2 linked regions of the Caenorhabditis elegans genome follow. The protein of the gene in region 1 interacts with the protein of each later gene in a pairwise test. Each region holds a gene or a part of one and is shown on either strand. Other genes may lie near its edges. The genes, in order: C25E10.8 and ubxn-1.

Evidence for each region.
Region 2: the proteins of C25E10.8 (region 1) and ubxn-1 interact in a two-hybrid assay, tested with the Caenorhabditis elegans proteins (one large-scale study listed by BioGRID).

What each region holds. Positions count from the first base shown.
Region 1 is NC_003283.11:9,050,728-9,058,489, reverse strand, and holds C25E10.8 (TIL domain-containing protein), read left to right. Parts: upstream 1-4,420; 5' UTR 4,421-4,557; coding exon 4,558-4,560; intron 4,561-4,609; coding exon 4,610-4,661; intron 4,662-4,724; coding exon 4,725-4,795; intron 4,796-4,840; coding exon 4,841-5,128; 3' UTR 5,129-5,228; downstream 5,229-7,762. Other genes in the region: C25E10.16 (Prohormone-3), read left to right, coding at 1-55; C25E10.11 (INSulin related), read left to right, coding at 158-186, 234-283, 594-841; C25E10.10 (TIL domain-containing protein), read left to right, coding at 2,172-2,174, 2,227-2,284, 2,330-2,402, 2,445-2,521, 2,571-2,656, 2,702-2,798, 2,899-3,014; Serine protease inhibitor swm-1, read left to right, coding at 3,658-3,660, 3,708-3,756, 3,817-3,887, 3,938-4,222; spi-3 (TIL domain-containing protein), read left to right, coding at 7,418-7,420, 7,478-7,627.
Region 2 is NC_003279.8:2,430,699-2,439,237, reverse strand, and holds ubxn-1 (UBX domain-containing protein 1), read right to left. Parts: upstream 5,237-8,539; 5' UTR 5,228-5,236; coding exon 5,016-5,227; intron 4,959-5,015; coding exon 4,686-4,958; intron 4,634-4,685; coding exon 4,387-4,633; intron 4,346-4,386; coding exon 4,222-4,345; intron 3,707-4,221; coding exon 3,663-3,706; 3' UTR 3,547-3,662; downstream 1-3,546. Other genes in the region: F23C8.3 (Phage protein), read right to left, coding at 316-423; F23C8.14 (Lon proteolytic domain-containing protein), read left to right, coding at 2,154-2,246, 2,554-2,688; tipn-1 (Protein TIPIN homolog), read left to right, coding at 5,629-5,707, 5,759-5,826, 5,875-5,979, 6,023-6,284, 6,341-6,528; F23C8.8 (Protein kinase domain-containing protein), read left to right, coding at 6,657-6,703, 7,125-7,441, 7,519-7,823. UniProt on the Caenorhabditis elegans protein: Ubiquitin-binding protein which acts as an adapter for ATPase cdc-48.1 and/or cdc-48.2, conferring substrate specificity.

The sequences.
Region 1 (7,762 bases):
TCCAACCTGCATTAATTATTTACCATTCTGTGATGACTCTCCACTTACAACATAAACCTATAATTATTCAATCCTCGTAAACATTATGAGGTTTTTTTTCGATGGTGCTACCTTAATTTTTTTAAAATTTTCCTTCAACCAATATTTTTTTCTTAAAATGGCATCCTTTCGAGCAATATACATATCGTGAGTTCATTTCGATTATTTTCCAACTTCAATATTTAAACTTCCAGGGTGACTTTAATGTCTATAGTCATCATATATCTCAACTCGTTCGCAAACGGTAAGCATTTCTGTAACAAGATTTATTCGACTGGCCAAATCTGTAGTGATGTTTTATGGCAAACAAGTGAAATATAAATCTTGTATCATTGCAAAAAAGTAACCAATAATAAAACTATTCCAAAAATTTGATTCTTGGATGGTTTTTACTTTCACTTAATTATATTTTCGTTGAACAAATTTTGAATGTTTTTTTTTGTTTGCTCGAAAAACTTCTGATTTAATTTCTGATTGGCTTCAGCTATTACTTATGACTTTATTTTACATTTTCCAAAACACGCAGTTTTACCACGACTAACAAATAATTTCAGAAGACAAACCCAGATTGGCTCGGGAAAACCGTCCCTATACTATTCTCAGTACTCATTTAAATTTGAAAGATTACGATCGGCTTTGTTTGAATGGACCAACAGTGAAATGTTACGGAGAGACAGTTTGCAAAGTTGCAAAAGTAGAATGTCTTCCAAATAAAACATGTGATCCGTTGATGGCAATTTGCTCGGATAAATCTTTCGAGGACTATCAAGACAGAAAATTCAATTATACTTCTTCTCGTTAGGCACATTTCCTTTTATTTTTCGTAGTCACGCAATGCATTTTCCCATGTTTTCCTTTTTGATTGTTTTCATTCACTTCAGTTTATAGAAATGAAGTTACTTTTTCTGTTCTGTTATTTTATATTTCTGGCTAAATATTCACATTCACAACTACCAGATGCATGTGACTTTGTAACATGTTACGGTCAATCCATATGTATTCCTGTGCCTATTCCATGTATTAACAAGCCATGTCCTGTTGGCCCCGCTTGCAAGATTTTTGCATGTCCAGAAGGAAGCAATCCAAGAGATCATTCAAATTGTATTTTGCTAAAAAAATCGACACTGTGATGGAATTTTGTGAATTTCATACAGTGTAATAAATCAATTTTCAAATGTCAGAATAACCAAACGATTTCTAACAAACAATGCCAAAGTTTTTATATATAAGCTTGAGGGAATTGTCAAGAAGTTTGTAGACTTGCCAAAACTTGTACTTGAATAATCAAAAAGTTATTATCTGAAAGCTTCTTTTAAAAAATTTTCGACGGAGCAAACTGTTTTGAGAGCAAACTAACCACATAAACGTGTTTAAAATTATCAATTTTCAATAGGAGACTTCTCATAAATGAATTAGATTTAGGGGTATTGGAATTATTGGAACTGGAAAGTACCGTGTTTTATCTATTAGAATCACACCTATTGTTCGACTTTGGCAGCTGATCAGCGTATCTCAATTGTCGTTTGTTCTAAACAAAGATTGTTAGCTGACAAAATATTTATTGTTTGTTTCTTTTACTATTTTTTTCACAATTTGGAAACAACGTTAAAAATTTTTGAACGGCTGTACACAGTTTTTGAGTATTTTTGCGAGTTATTTTTATGAAGTTTCTGGCTTTTGGAGCTATTTTGAATATATTCAAAGCCCATCCCAGCAGTTAATCTTCTGTTCCAACAGTCTTGAGTTTTTGCTTGTATATAATAAAAATACTCAAATGGGCAACTTTCATAATAAGACTTCTCAAAAAAATTGCATAATTTTTGAGATTTCTCATTACCAAAATTTTGCCTAGGGCGCATTTTGAGTCTATTCAAGCAAAAACCGAAAACAGTTACTTCTTTGTTCTTCTCAGGCGTACTTTCGTAGAAAGTAATTTTGTAAATAACATATTTTTAAACTTAAAAAAACAGCACTCAAGAAATATTCCGGTCGGCTGAACTCTCTCCGGTCTCACCAAGTCATTAATCTTTTGACTCATCCTCGGTCTCACGCCTGTCAATTTTATTTCAATGATTGCTTCCTTCTCATAACTTCCCCACTCCGAAAGTTTCTTCAGAAATTCTTTCATCAAAATGGTGAGTGGTTTTTTCTTCATATCTTACAACAAATGAAAGTGTGTTTTTTCAGAATTTTCAATTATTTATTTTCTTTGCTCTTCTTGCTTTTGCTAGATCTGGAGTTCTTAGTGAGTACCAAGGTTTTATTTAAAAATCAAATGACTTATTTTCAGAAAACACAGAAAACATGCCCATTTCTCACACAGACGCACTCTGTGGTTCTATCAAATGTCCTGATAATTATAGGTTTTAATATTTCCAATTATAAATTTTAAAATATTTTTTCAGATGCGAACTGCCAGTCAGTGACTTGGAATGTGGTTCTGAAGACGATTGTTCAGTTGATCCAAAGTGCGTGCCAATCCGTAAGTGTAGTGAAACCAAAAATATCCAGTGGTTCTTGGAAACTTCCAGCAATCCGCAAACCGGAATGTGAGGGCGATGAAGAGCTCAAGGCGTGTGGCTCAGCGTGTGAACCGACATGTGATAACGAGAATCCAGTAAATCAACGTTGAGATTATGTATGATCATAAATTGTTTCTCAGGAATGTGATTTGGTGTGTATGACAAACGTCTGCCAGTGTAAGAAAGGACTCGTCAGAGACTCGGCAACTGGAAAATGTGTGGAGAAAAATAAATGCAGTAAGCTTCAAAATTTATTACTAGACTTTAACCAATTTAACCATCAGTGATTATTCGCTGAAAACCTGCACATAATACTAGTCATAAATTTTTCATTCAGGCAAATGCACTCTTGAATGCTCTGAGAACGAAAAATGTGAACTTGTGGAGCTGACTTGTGAGGAGAAACCATGCCAAATTGTGGACGTATGTGTTGCACAACATACCACTGAATAATATTTTCGATGATTAAAAAAAAAGTTGTTTTTCTCATATTTTAATATTGATGTTTTCATGCTAATGTTTTCAGAAAATTTAAAAATAACAATATTCGAATTTTAACATAATATTTGTATTCCTTTTCAATAGCCAAAAAACTTATGAACTATTCCGTGTTGCAATACAATGAATACAAAAAGTCAGTGTTAACCAAACAATGTTAAGTTGGTAATTATGGATGAAACACATTCGAAATACTCTCCAGTGAGCCAAGCCAAAACTATTTGCACCAAGCGATACGTTTTAAATTGATATCTTCTAGTGAATTGATTCATTAAAATCATTGGTCGGAATGAAATTTCGTAAGGTTCTCGATTTAATGTGTTTCTGATTTTTTCTGAATTTTCGAATACAAATTCTTCGAGATTTTTAAACCTTTGTTGTGAGCCCAATTTACAAAATAAATACGTGACCGGTGAAAGATAAATTTCTCTCCAAAAGATTGAGAAGACCTATAATATCTCCCATTCGATCTTATCATGTTTCTCGTATCATCCCTTCCGAAAAAAAGGGCGGTTCTGCCGTTTTTTAGTGTTCCGGCACAATAAATAGAGCCGTTAAAAAGCAAAACATCGGTTGGTTGCCCTTCGTTATTGTGAAAATGGTGAGTTTTTGAGTTTTTTTTCTAATATAAAAATTATACACTTACAGAGGATACTTGTCATAATCACATGCATCGTTGCTGTTGCTACCGCCACAAGTAAGTAAATATATGTGATTTGGTACTTGAACGGTTACCAGATCATAAATATTTTTTTAGAAACATGTGAAGCCAATGAGGAGCTGGTATCGTGCCATAATACATGTGAACCACAATGTGGATATACCCCTGTAACAATTAACTTAATGTGTCTCCCATTACTGAAAGTTTCAAAATTTAGAAAGCTTGCACGGAGCAATGTATCATGAACACATGTGACTGTAAAGACGGATTTGTTCGTAATTCTCTTGGAAAATGCGTCGAAGTATCTGAATGCACCAAGGAAACTACAAAATGCCCAGAAAATGAGACATTCTTTGGCTGTGGAACAGCTTGTGAAGCAACTTGTGAGAAACCAAATCCAACAGTTTGCACTAAACAATGTATCGTCAATGTCTGCCAATGCTCCAAAGGTTTCGTTCGTCATGGACTCAGATGCATTGATAAGAAAGATTGTCCAAAATAATTTGTTTTTGAGTAAACATTTCCAAGTTCAATAAACCATCAAATATTGGAAAAAATTCAAAAAGAAGTGTGATGAAGGAAACTGGAGTTGTGTGCTATTATTGATAACACAATTGTTACATCAGTATTATTTTTCCTGGCATGAAAAACTAAAAAAAACTCTGTTTGATCTTTTGGATTTATTGGTCATCGTTTTTTTTCAATGTCTATGTCTCTGGCAAACAAAAGGGCGGTTTTGATAGACTAGAGTCCTCTGCGTGATTTAGTGTTCTCGAACAATAAATAGAGTCATTTCAAAAGAAAACATCAGACTGCTGCATTACTTTTCTTTCTGTGATGGTTCGTTCTTTTTTTCATTAGAGCAATGCAAAAACTAATGAGTTTTTAGAGAACTTTTGTCATAATTGCCTGTTTTATTGCTGCTGCGACAGCTGCCAATAGTAAGTTTATTTTTAAATGATTATTGTTAAATATTTCTGGAAAATAAACATTTTACTTTTCAGAGACATGTGGAGCCAACGAGGAAATGGTTGCATGCCATGATCACTGTGAGACACAATGCGGATACACTCCAGTAATCTATAATTTTCCATGTTCTCCTATAATATTTAATTTTCAGAAAGTGTGTCTATCTGCTCAATGTATTGAAAACGCATGCGACTGCAAGAAAGGATTTGTGCGTAATTCACTTGGAAAATGTGTCGATATTTCCACCTGTACCAAGGAAACTAGCAAATGTCCGGAAAATGAGACATTCTTCCGATGCGGAACCGCTTGTGAGCCAACTTGTGAAAAACCAGGACCAAGACCATGTACCAGACAATGCATTGTAAATGTTTGCCAGTGTTCCAGTGGTTTTGTCCGAAACGGTTACAGATGCACCGAACTCAAGGAGTGCCCAAAGTGAACATTTTGTATTCACATTTGTGATAATAAATCGTTGAATTTCATATTCTGAGAAAAACCAACAAATTGCCAAATAGAATAACATTCGGTTACCATGAACTGGAAAAATGGAAACGAATTTATATTTCTTTTTTGGAACAAAACACAAACAATGCCGTGATCGTGATATCATTCCGATGGAAAACTGTGTCCGATCGGAGTACACAAAGTTTTCGTTTTTGGGTACAGATTACCTCACTAGAGTATTGAATTTCATTTGGTCTTATAGGTTCGATGCTACACACAAAACTTTTTTTAGGATTGGCAATTGTTGTTTCATAAACATTCCAAAAGCGACAAAAACAGACAGTTTAAATGTTGGCATCATATATTTTTTTGGAAAAAAAATTCGTTAAAAAATGCGTTAAAAAATTTAACCGTGTGGCAGAGCTGAGCTCATCCCCTACTTGGTTTCTTAATATAGGAACATACACACAAAAAACAAATAAGAAACTTAAGCAAGGAAATTATTCAAAAAAAGATCAATCATTCTTTTGTAATGTCTAGGTTAGAAAATGTCGTAGACGCTTAAAACTTTTTAATTCAAAAATCACGATTCTTTTACAGCAGCGTTTTTTCCAGGCACATTCTGGAAAATGAAAGACTACGCTATTTTACGTGAGCATTTGCAATTGTTTTCTACCTCGTAAACATAAAAATAATCACATTCATAAATACCAATAGGTACGCGTCAGAAAGGTTCTGCCAATTTCTGCACAATATCATTTGTCCCAGAAAAAATTTGGCAAAAGTTATAGGAAATTAATTTTTCCCTTTACTTTATATTTTTGAAACTTTTGACTTTCGACGCCTTTGTTAGTTTTTCTATTTAAACACATGACGTTTTCATGCCGTCATAGTATTTCGCTCATTATTTATAAACACGTTAATTATTGAAATACACATCTGACAATGCTCGAGTCTACAATTTTGAACCTCCGAGTTTGTATTTTGTATCAAATGCATATACTAAGAAATAAGTATGACAAAACATAGTGCGTAACTGAATGTCTCAATATTATAGTTCACTACAATATTACTTCAAAAATGAAACGAATTCAAATATAATATATACGTTTAGGTCTATACTATTTGAAATGCCAAAAAAACGTTTAACTTGACCTTTTCAATGACGCTTCAAATTTCACACCTACCGATGCGCAAAAGGAAATAGATTTTCGATGATGCAAAAAAGTGAGAGGCTCAAATTTTTTTTCGAGACCGCCGTCATTTTTGAATTGAACTATGAAGTTAAATAACTGCGTCTGTTTAAGCCCGTTAACAAAATGTATATTTTTTGTTTCGGGACTTTTGAGTTATACCTTTCTGCCAAAAAAATCGAATCAAAACTTTGATTTTAAGAATGCACTTACTTCGAAGTTAGAAAATTTCATGAGCAGATTTATTCGATATTCTGCGTTACCAAAAAAGTATTACGTACTTTCCATAATTATACATAAAATTTACGTCAATAAGCTTTTTGCACATCTAAATTATTGAGACCCGTTTTGTCTTCCGAACTTGTATCACTTTTCACTGAATTCCGGTACGATTTTACTAAATTACTTTTCAAGGAATCCATTTTATGCTGACATTTAGCAGATCATATATGATTTTTGAACGCAATTCACCTGTCTAGTTTCTAGGTATTTTTTAAACTAAAGTTTTCCCGTTTGACTGGTATATAAGCTCAGTTTTGGAAACGGTTTTATCAATAAAGTTATTTTTACATTTTTTTCAATAAAAAAAGTTGTTCTGTACTGAAAGCTTAACATCACATATTCAGTATTCAGATAATGCAATTTTATTCTAAGCCATACCTTTTATCATTTCTTTACAGTACTTCTGTTCTTAGAATCAAATTCAGTGTTTTCAAAAATACCTTTGGCAAAAGGGAAATAGAATTTAGTTTCTTCTTTAGCCAGTATTGGTGTCTTAATAAATAAATGTTCATTTTCATTATAACTTTGTGACTTTTCAAACAAACATAATGAATGTGTGAAGTTATGAGATGTGGCTGAAACTCATTCTAAATTTCCAATTCTTGAATATCTTTTCCCTCTCGTTTCAAATGAAAACCTTGTCATTATCATTTCATTTCTGGCTGATTTCCATTTATAATTATATATTAAAGAACGTCTTTTTCACTCTTCCGGTAACTACTTGAGACCGCCCAAATATTCGCTCAGAGTTCTCCGTCGTTCACTTTTCAGTCTGTTCATTGTCCAACACGGAAAATCTGCAAATAACAATGGTAAGCCTGCATTACATAGTTAAAGCATGTGTTATTCATCCGAGTATTACTTTTCAGAAGACTTTCTTATTTCTCAGCTTTTACTTAAGCATGGGATCAGCCACACAATGGATCACACCAGGAGCCCCGTTTTTACCAGAATGTGGGAAAAACCAAAAACGAGTGGCTTGTGGTTATGATTGTGAACCACAATGCGGATTTGATCCAGTAAGTTATCTTTTCAATTCTAAAATAGCAGGAACGTTTTGGTTCTGCTTTTTTTCATTTGAGGTATTACTGTCAAAGGTTAGGAATAAAACTGTTTTGCCGTTCCTTTTTTCAGATAGACACTATTATAGATAT
Region 2 (8,539 bases), on another chromosome or scaffold:
AGTGGCGCTAACTTAGTTTCCTCCAATTGTAATTTTGAAAGCGAGCCAAAAAACGTTCTACTATTTTTATACACTTAGACCTTCACCTTTAAAACATTCCTTACGTTACCCAGCTGATTGATTCATTATTTTCATTTGTCTGATCGGAAAGCCAGGTACAGTTCTAGTGATGCTCCCAACAAAGTAATTAAATCAATTAAGTTGATAGACATATTTGAATAAAAGTTAGACAGAAAATGTGTACACACCCCAAAGAAGCTGTGTTTTTTTTCCAAAATCCTGCAAGTGGCAGTGAAATTTAATAACAAAACTAACTTGTTGTTCACTCATCCGCTTCACGCATTTCACATTCAGATTATCTGCATTGGGGAAAATTCCACGAAAGTAGTTGAGGAAAATAGCTTCATACTGGTTGCCGTCCATTATCATATGTTTCCAGAAAATATTGTAAATTGTGTGACATACAAAAAGCTGCAATTGAGAAAGTTTTTCAGTCAGACTGTTTGTTAAATTGATGATAAAACGATAATCTGTACTCAAACTGGAATTTGTCAAATCAAAGTAAATTTTTATAGACCTTGAAACTGTAAATAGCAAACCGAAAATATGTTCTGAAAATAGGCTCCGCCCCCACGTGAACTTTTTGCGTTTTTCATTCAAATTTTCTCGAACTTCCTCGAATTTTTTCGCAGTTTCCCTTTATATCATAACGAACCGTGGACCGCACCTCCAGCGCGGCCCCCGATTTCTGGGGCTGAAAACTACTTTTCTGAAACTACCGTAATCTTACAGTACTACTATATCCCTACACTTACCCCAACTCACTATCCAGAAGCCAAAACTTCACAGACTACAAAGACTACATAAACTACAAACTATGGACAAACGGAATAAGCGCTTTAAATATAGTAAATCATAGGGGTTATTCAAGTAGTGTCGTAAAATTAGAAAGTGCATTTCAATACCTCTTTTGCCTTATTCAAGTAACTTCAAAAACATGTATTTAAATGCAGTTTGTGACGTAATTTCGCGGCATTTCTCTGCATTTCTCGACATTATCCGACAACCAAAAATTTCTGATAAAACAACTGTGGAAAAATGTCGAGAAACGTGGGAAAATTTTGCGAAATGACGCCACAAACTTTATTGAGATACATGCTTTTATTGTTACTTGAATAAGGAAAAAAGTGTATTGAAATACACTTTTTAGTTTCACGACACTACTTGAATAACGCGATGGAATGAGTTTTCTATTGCTTGATTGTTTTTTTCAATTGTAGCTAGTAAAATTAAAAAATAACAATATCATAGACAAAGGGAAGAGCAACCCAGTTTTGAAAAAAAAATCATAAGATAAAAATGACCCGACATAGCATATTTTTATAATAGCTCAAAATCTCATCTCAAACAGAGCTAATGTTTCAAAATAATGTTTTGCAAAAATAAGTGAAAGAAGTGAAAAAAAATTCGAAAAGTTAACATGTTTGACACAGTTATGATTAGTCGGTGTTGTATCCTTCAGAACTAAATCCGTACTGACAAAGGCAGTTTAACCTTCGGAGAAATAGGGAGAGACGTAGAAGCGCAGTGTGCGTGAGTAAGAGATTGTTGTGAGTGAGGAGGAGACATATATTTTTTGCTGGTCATTGGGAGGTTACATGAAAGACGGTTTGAGCTCGGTCTACCCTAATCAGGCCCTGGGCTGGGTCTTTCGAAAACCAACAAATACCTACCAAAAAAAAGGTGTTGTAACAAAAAACTACCAGGCTAAATGTTATGAAACTCACCACAGTCGTAGATCTTAACCCACAAAATCAGACAACAACTTCCGGTTAAATTTTTCTTGTGACAGAATTTCAGTGCAACAACTTTTTTCGTTTTTATTTATTTTATTTTTTTGGTTTCAAGAAAACCAAACAAACTTTTTTTTAGGAGTTTGCAAGAGATTATACCATATGTACTTCTGAATGAAAAATTATTCTTGATAACACGAGTTTCTAAAATTTGAAAAAATTGATATGCAGCGAAAAAAATTACGAATTTTGACCTTTTTTATTCACCTCATTCCTACATTTGAGTGATAATTATGCACGCAACCCTGAAATGACAGCAGAAAAATCTTCTACCTCTTCGTTTGCAACGATCTCTCACACATGCACACTATGCATTTCTACGTCTCTCATTATTTCTCGGAAATCGACTATTTGAATATTTTTCCGATTTCTTTCAGAAGTAGCCTTAAAGAAGTACATTTTAAAAAAATGAAGGGCGTTAAAAATTATGAAAACGCTTTTCTCCACTATTGCCCATACAGAGAGTGTAGTCAATTGTAGAGAGATAGACATCCCGGGACCCAAGAGGCAGGTCGGGGGAAGAGTAAAAAATTGTAAATCGATACAAACCGTTTCTTCCCTCCACTTTGGGTCTCGAGGTGTCTGTGTTTCTTCAACTTTTTGTTTTTAATTTCGTAGCTAGAAGTTTAGAACACTTTTAAATAGTACAGATTTTCATTCATGTGTTTGAAAAACTAGTACAACCCGAGCATATTTTCAGGTTGGCAATATCGTGGTAAGAACGCGTGCAGCATTTGCAAGAAATCTGAGAGTTATCATGCCAACGGGAAACATGGATGAACTGCCATCAGATTTGCGAGATCCAGCCAGAGTTTTTGGGGTTGGCACATTTTAAGAAGCTATCGAAGTGATCAAGAAATTAGCTAGAGAGAATCAGAACTGCTAGAAATTTCAATAAACTTGAATTTTGAATTTTTGTGTTTTTGTACTTTTGTTGTTGAAAAAATTAAGGAAAACCTGATGGAAAAACGAGAATGGCTGGACTTATAGTGCGAAATATTTCCTCGCAACTTTCTACTGTATCATTGAAAAATAACAACAAGTTTGGAATTTAATTATATCTCGAAGCGAAAACTACAGTAATTCTTTAAATGACTACTGTAGCGCTCTTGTGTCGATTTACGGGCTCGTGTATTTCTCGATAGAATATTAAATTAGAGGCCCCACCAAAACAGAATGCAACTCAAAACAGGATTCACCAAAACAGGATGCAAGGGCGGAGCCTATTTCGCAACAACCGCGCATGCTTTTCCCGCAAGCCTCGCACGTTTTTTCCTTGATGTTGTTGCATTTTTTAAAGAGAAAAAACGTGCGAGGCTTGCGGAAAAAGCATGCGGTGGTTGCGAAATAGGCTCCGCCCCTGTATCCTGTTTTGAGTTGCATTCCGTTTTGGTGGGGCCTCTTAAATTAAATCGAAAAGAAAATCTGAGCCCGTAAATCGACCTACAGTAATCATTTAAAGAATTACTGCAGTTTTCGCTGCGAGATATTTTGCGCGTCAAATATGTTGTGCAGTACGCAGGTTTTTATTCCAATATCTTCCAGGTTCTAATGCTTCCAATCACTCTGGAGATATGATTGTCCTGCAGCTTGTCAGAAATCTGTGGCAAGAGCTCGGAGAGCAAAACTGACGGGAATTCGAAGATCACGAGGAGATGAAGAGCCTCGAGATATATGGAGGGGAAAAAAGTTTATCGGAAAATTTTTATACATGCTCAATATACATGTTTAGTTTACAAGTGATACCAGCATTCGGGAGAGGGGGGAGAGAAAATTAGCAGTAAATTGTGGGAATTTAGTTTTGAAGATTCAGGCGGCACGGTTGAGAATGACGTTGGCGGATGGTACCAAATCTGAAAATTTTAAAAAAAAATTAGAGAATGAACATTTTTTTGGTCTCAAAAAACCAAAATTCATAACGAAACTTTTCAAATTTTTATTTATTTTTTTCGAAAAAATGGCCCAATTACAGCAGAAATCTATATATTTTAGCGTTTTTTTCGTTGATTTAGGCACATTTAAAGTCAAATTGCACCATACTGCTCCAATATTTAAAAATTAGTGTCAAAATATAGAAAATCAGTTGATTTTTCTGAAAATAATACTTAATTTAACTGAAAAATTCGAAAGTGCTCAAAAATTGCCTTACAATTGACAATTCGTGACTTCTAGGCCATTTTTGAGCACTTTTTCAGATTCTTCAGTTAAATTGAGTCTTTTTGCTGAAGAAGGACAAAAATCGAATAAAAATAAATTTCCGGCAGCTGTGAACAGGAAAAGTTGGCGAAATAGCTGAAAATCGTCCACTTTTTTTTTCGAAAATTTCCAAGTTTCATCATGAAATCCGGCCTTTTTGAGCAAAACTCACTGAGAACTTTGAGCGGTGTTCCCATATCATCCTCGGTGAACACTTTGCGGGGGAATGGGGTCATCAGGGTGAACGGAACACCGTTTGCGTGATTAGTTTCGACCCAGGCGCGGACCATTGCGAGCTGAAAAATTAATTCAAGGGAGTCGAGAATATTTAAATTACCGGCTCATTAGCTTCAAACTGTTGTCTAACAGTTTGTCCATCGAGAAGTCGGAATTGAAGAGTTGTAGTTGAGTAGTCTTTTGGCGGAGCAACTGGAGCTGCAGACGGAGCAGGCTTTGCCTCTGGAACCGGTTGGCCTGAAGCTTTTGCCTTACGGGCTTCCTTGTCAAGCCGGATTTGCTCGAGAACTCGTTTTCTGGCGATTTCGTCTTCGTTCTTTTCGCGGCGACGATCTTGAGCGGCTTCTCTGCAAATTGGGAATATTATTATTTAAATTCAATGGAAAACAGTTTTCTAACCGAATTTCACGATCTCTGGCGGCTTCTTTATGGCTGATCATGGCTTTTCCATCCTCACGACGCTTTTTCTCCTTCTCACGATTCTCTTCGGCCTCGAGCTTTGCCTTTTTGGCCTGATGGACTTTGATTTTTTCTCGGATTTCCAGGACTTTTGCGGCCTTTTCCTCTGCAGTGAGAGGCTTGATAGCTTCCGAGCTTTCGCTGAAATTCTCGTGCTTTGTCTTCGAAGCGTGGAACATGATAGCATCATCGTTGGCGAGAAGCTTTCCGCAGCTGGAAAAAAAAATTTGGAGAAATAATTAATAAGAATCGTAGGGGGGAAAAACTCACTCATCACACTTAAAACTGGCGGCTACCGGGGGTGCACCACTGTCAGCGGCTCCTGGAGCAGCTTGAGCTGGAGCATCTGTCTCCATTGGTACACCGGCTCCGTCCTTCTCAATCCAATCCAACGCCTGATCGAGATTTCTGTTGTTTCCGGCGGCGGCCTCGGCTTTGTCGGCTGGGAAGCCCATATCCATGAGTTGTTGGGCGATCGACATTGTTATTCTGGAAAGAAATGCGACAATTTGGCGAAAAACTAGATTTTTTCTCATTTTCCAGAAGAATTTTGGGATTTTTTACGAAATAAGCTGTTCAAAACAGTGATATATTAACAATAAAGTGGTTTAATTAATAAAAAACCTTAAGAAATGCGTTTAAATCAGAAAATTCAGATAATAAATGGACTGGAACACTTTTTCTAGCCAAGAACACAAAGAGAATGCTGACTTTCTTTAAAGGCGCACGCATTTAATCGATCGGGTCTCGACGCGATTCAGCCGATTTTGTCGGCGCGTTGTTTGAAAATAGTTTTTTAAACGCTAAGATTTTTGCATTTTTTTTCGTTTTCTGCACGAAAACCTAGAAATTTCGATCGAAAATCAACTTTTTTTCCAGAAAAATGGACGAAATGGAAGATTTCTTCGAAAATGATGAATTGGATCGAGAGCCAAGCCCTATGGGAGACGAAGCAATCGAAGGTATCTAGAATTTCGTGTGAGAAATCGGGTTTTAATTAAAGTTTTGTTCAGATAACAGCGGCGAGGGAGGCACTAGACGAGTCGTGGAGCCGAAATTGTTAAGGACTAAAAGACTAGCAGTAAAACGCTTATTTTCTATGATTTATTTAAATTTTTTCAAACTTTAGAATCCACGCCTAGCACTGAATGAGCGAATTTTGACCGGGCCGAAAGGAATTTCAGCTCTTCGGGAGACTTTAAAAGATTTCAAGCCAAATCCCAAGGATGATCCGGTAAATTTGAAAGTTAAAAAATACAATAATTTTCCCTTTTCAGTACGCAAATCTGGAGAAATTGATGAAAAAATACGCATACTGGGGACATTTGATGTTTCCGAAGATGAAAACCGAAGATGTTCTGAATCGAGTCGAGACACTGGGAACACGGCGGCAGGTTAAAGTTTTCATGATCAAGCACCGGCTTGGAGAGACTGGCGAGGATTCTGAGCACGAGGAGCAGGAGAATCAAAAGAATGGAATTATTGATGATGGAGCGAGTGATAATGACGATGATTTATTCAAGGATTTACCAGAGAAAGGTTGCAAAATTTATCCAAACTTGTTATTAGAAAATCAAAAAATCTTTCAATTTCAGAAGTCACGACTGAAAAAGCTAAAAATTCTGAAAAATCCGACCAAAAAACCGCTGAAATTGATGAAAATGTCGAGGAAGAGTATCGAATGATGGAGGAAGAGCGGCTGCGAGAGGAACAGGAAGCCAAGGAAGCTGCTGACGAAGATGCTCTTATGGAAGATTTCGGTGATATGAATAACGATTGGTGATAGAGCAATTAATTTTTTTTAATTTCACGTGTATTTTATATTTTTATGAACTTTTCTTTGTTCTCGAATTTTCCAAAGCGTGAGACCTTTTTTTTATCGAATAAAACTACATTCCTTATTGTTATGACATGTCAACGCCAACACTCTCTCCGTCTACAGAAAAGTTGATTCCGATGTGAGTTTCTGGAGGTCAAAAATTCGAGTTTTTCTTGATTTTCGCCGTTTTTCCAACGAATATTCTCAAAATATTGGAATTCCGCGGAAGAAAAATCAGGAAAAATTGCGAAATCGGCAAAAATTTCCACCGTACCCCTTTAAAAGCGCACGGCTCGCTTTAAAAAGTAACAATCGTGCCAGGACCTTTGAGTGAAATGAGGAGTGCGCCTTTAAGAAAGTACGGTCTTTTTCAGATTATTTCGCAATTTTTCCGGGTTTCCTGTTATTTTTCGAAAGAGAATCGAAATTTAATTAGAAAATCTGATTGTGAAATTGATTGCAAAAGACACAGTAATCGCCTAAAGGCGCATGGGCTTTCTGCTCCCTCAGAAAAACTTTACAGGCCTAGTTTGAGACTAAAAACCTTTGAATTTCTGTAGAATTGGACTAAGCGTGTCTGGAACATTCTCACCTCGTCCAATTGCCACCACCGCTCACTCGGTTGTCTTCAAAGTGGATTCGCAGCTTTATCGTCGAGAAGTGATTGTGAAAATCGTGGATCGAAAATCGATTCCGGCAAACGTGGCGGAGAAATTCTTCCCGCGCGAATTGGAGATCACCATGAAGGTTCGACATCCACATATTGCGCGGTGCCTGGCGATCACACGACCAGCGCCGACGAAATTCGTGATTATTTCGGATTACTATGAACGTGGCACACTTCTCGAGTGGATTCTCCAGAAGAAACGTTTGAAAGGTGAGGGTGTGGTGAAACACGTGCTCGCTGGCTGTCTCTTTGCATAATCTCGGCCACGTTGAAACATTTTATTCCAGAGCACCCATTAGCAGCCACACTATTCCGTCAACTCATCGAAGCGATCAATTATCTTCACAAAAGAGGAATAGTACATCGAGATGTGAAATTGGAAAATATTCTAATCGACGGAAATGGGGATATTAAGCTCATCGATTTCGGATTTGCAAGACACATTGAACGACGTGAACGGTCTCGATCATTCTGTGGAACTCAGCCCTACACATGCCCGCAAATCACAAAATATCGGCCTTATGAAGCCTACGCGGCGGACTATTATGCTTGTGGAATAGTGCTTTTTACGATGGTCACTGGAAAATGGCCGGTGCGTTGGGTTGTACATCTTCGCCTTGGCAGTTTGTTTACAAGACGTGTTGCATCGATAATGAGTTCAACTTTGGACGCTCATATCTCGATTTTCTTTGCAGTTATTAAAAAATTGTCAACTGACAGAATAATAAGCATACAATTTTCTATAATTTTGTAGTTGAAAATTTTTTTATAACTACAAAATGAACGGAGATATGGAATTCCAAAGTATAGTGAAGCACATGGTGCATCGATAACAAGTAGCACACTCAACTTTGAAAGCTCATTTCTCAATTTTCTTTGCAGTTATCAAAAACCCGTCAACTAGCAAAATATTAAAATATTGCGCATATGATTTTCTATAGTTTTGTAATTTATAAGTTTTTGATAGCTATAAAATTCACCGAGATATGGGCGGTCAAAAGTGATTTAGCCTCATGGTGCATCTACAAAATGGGTTTACTCAACTTTGAAAGCTTATATCTCGGATGTCATTGCAGTTATCAAAAAACTGTCAACTGAGAAAATGTTGAACATTTAATTTTCTATAGATTTGTAGTTGAAAATTTTTTGATAGCTACAAAATAAACCGAGATATTGACTGTCAAAGACATGGTGCATCAACCGAGTGAGGTCTCTCAACTTTGAAAGCTCATATCTCGGATGTCATTGCAGTTATCAAAAAACTGTCAACTGAGAAAATGTTGAACATTTAATTTTCTATAGATTTGT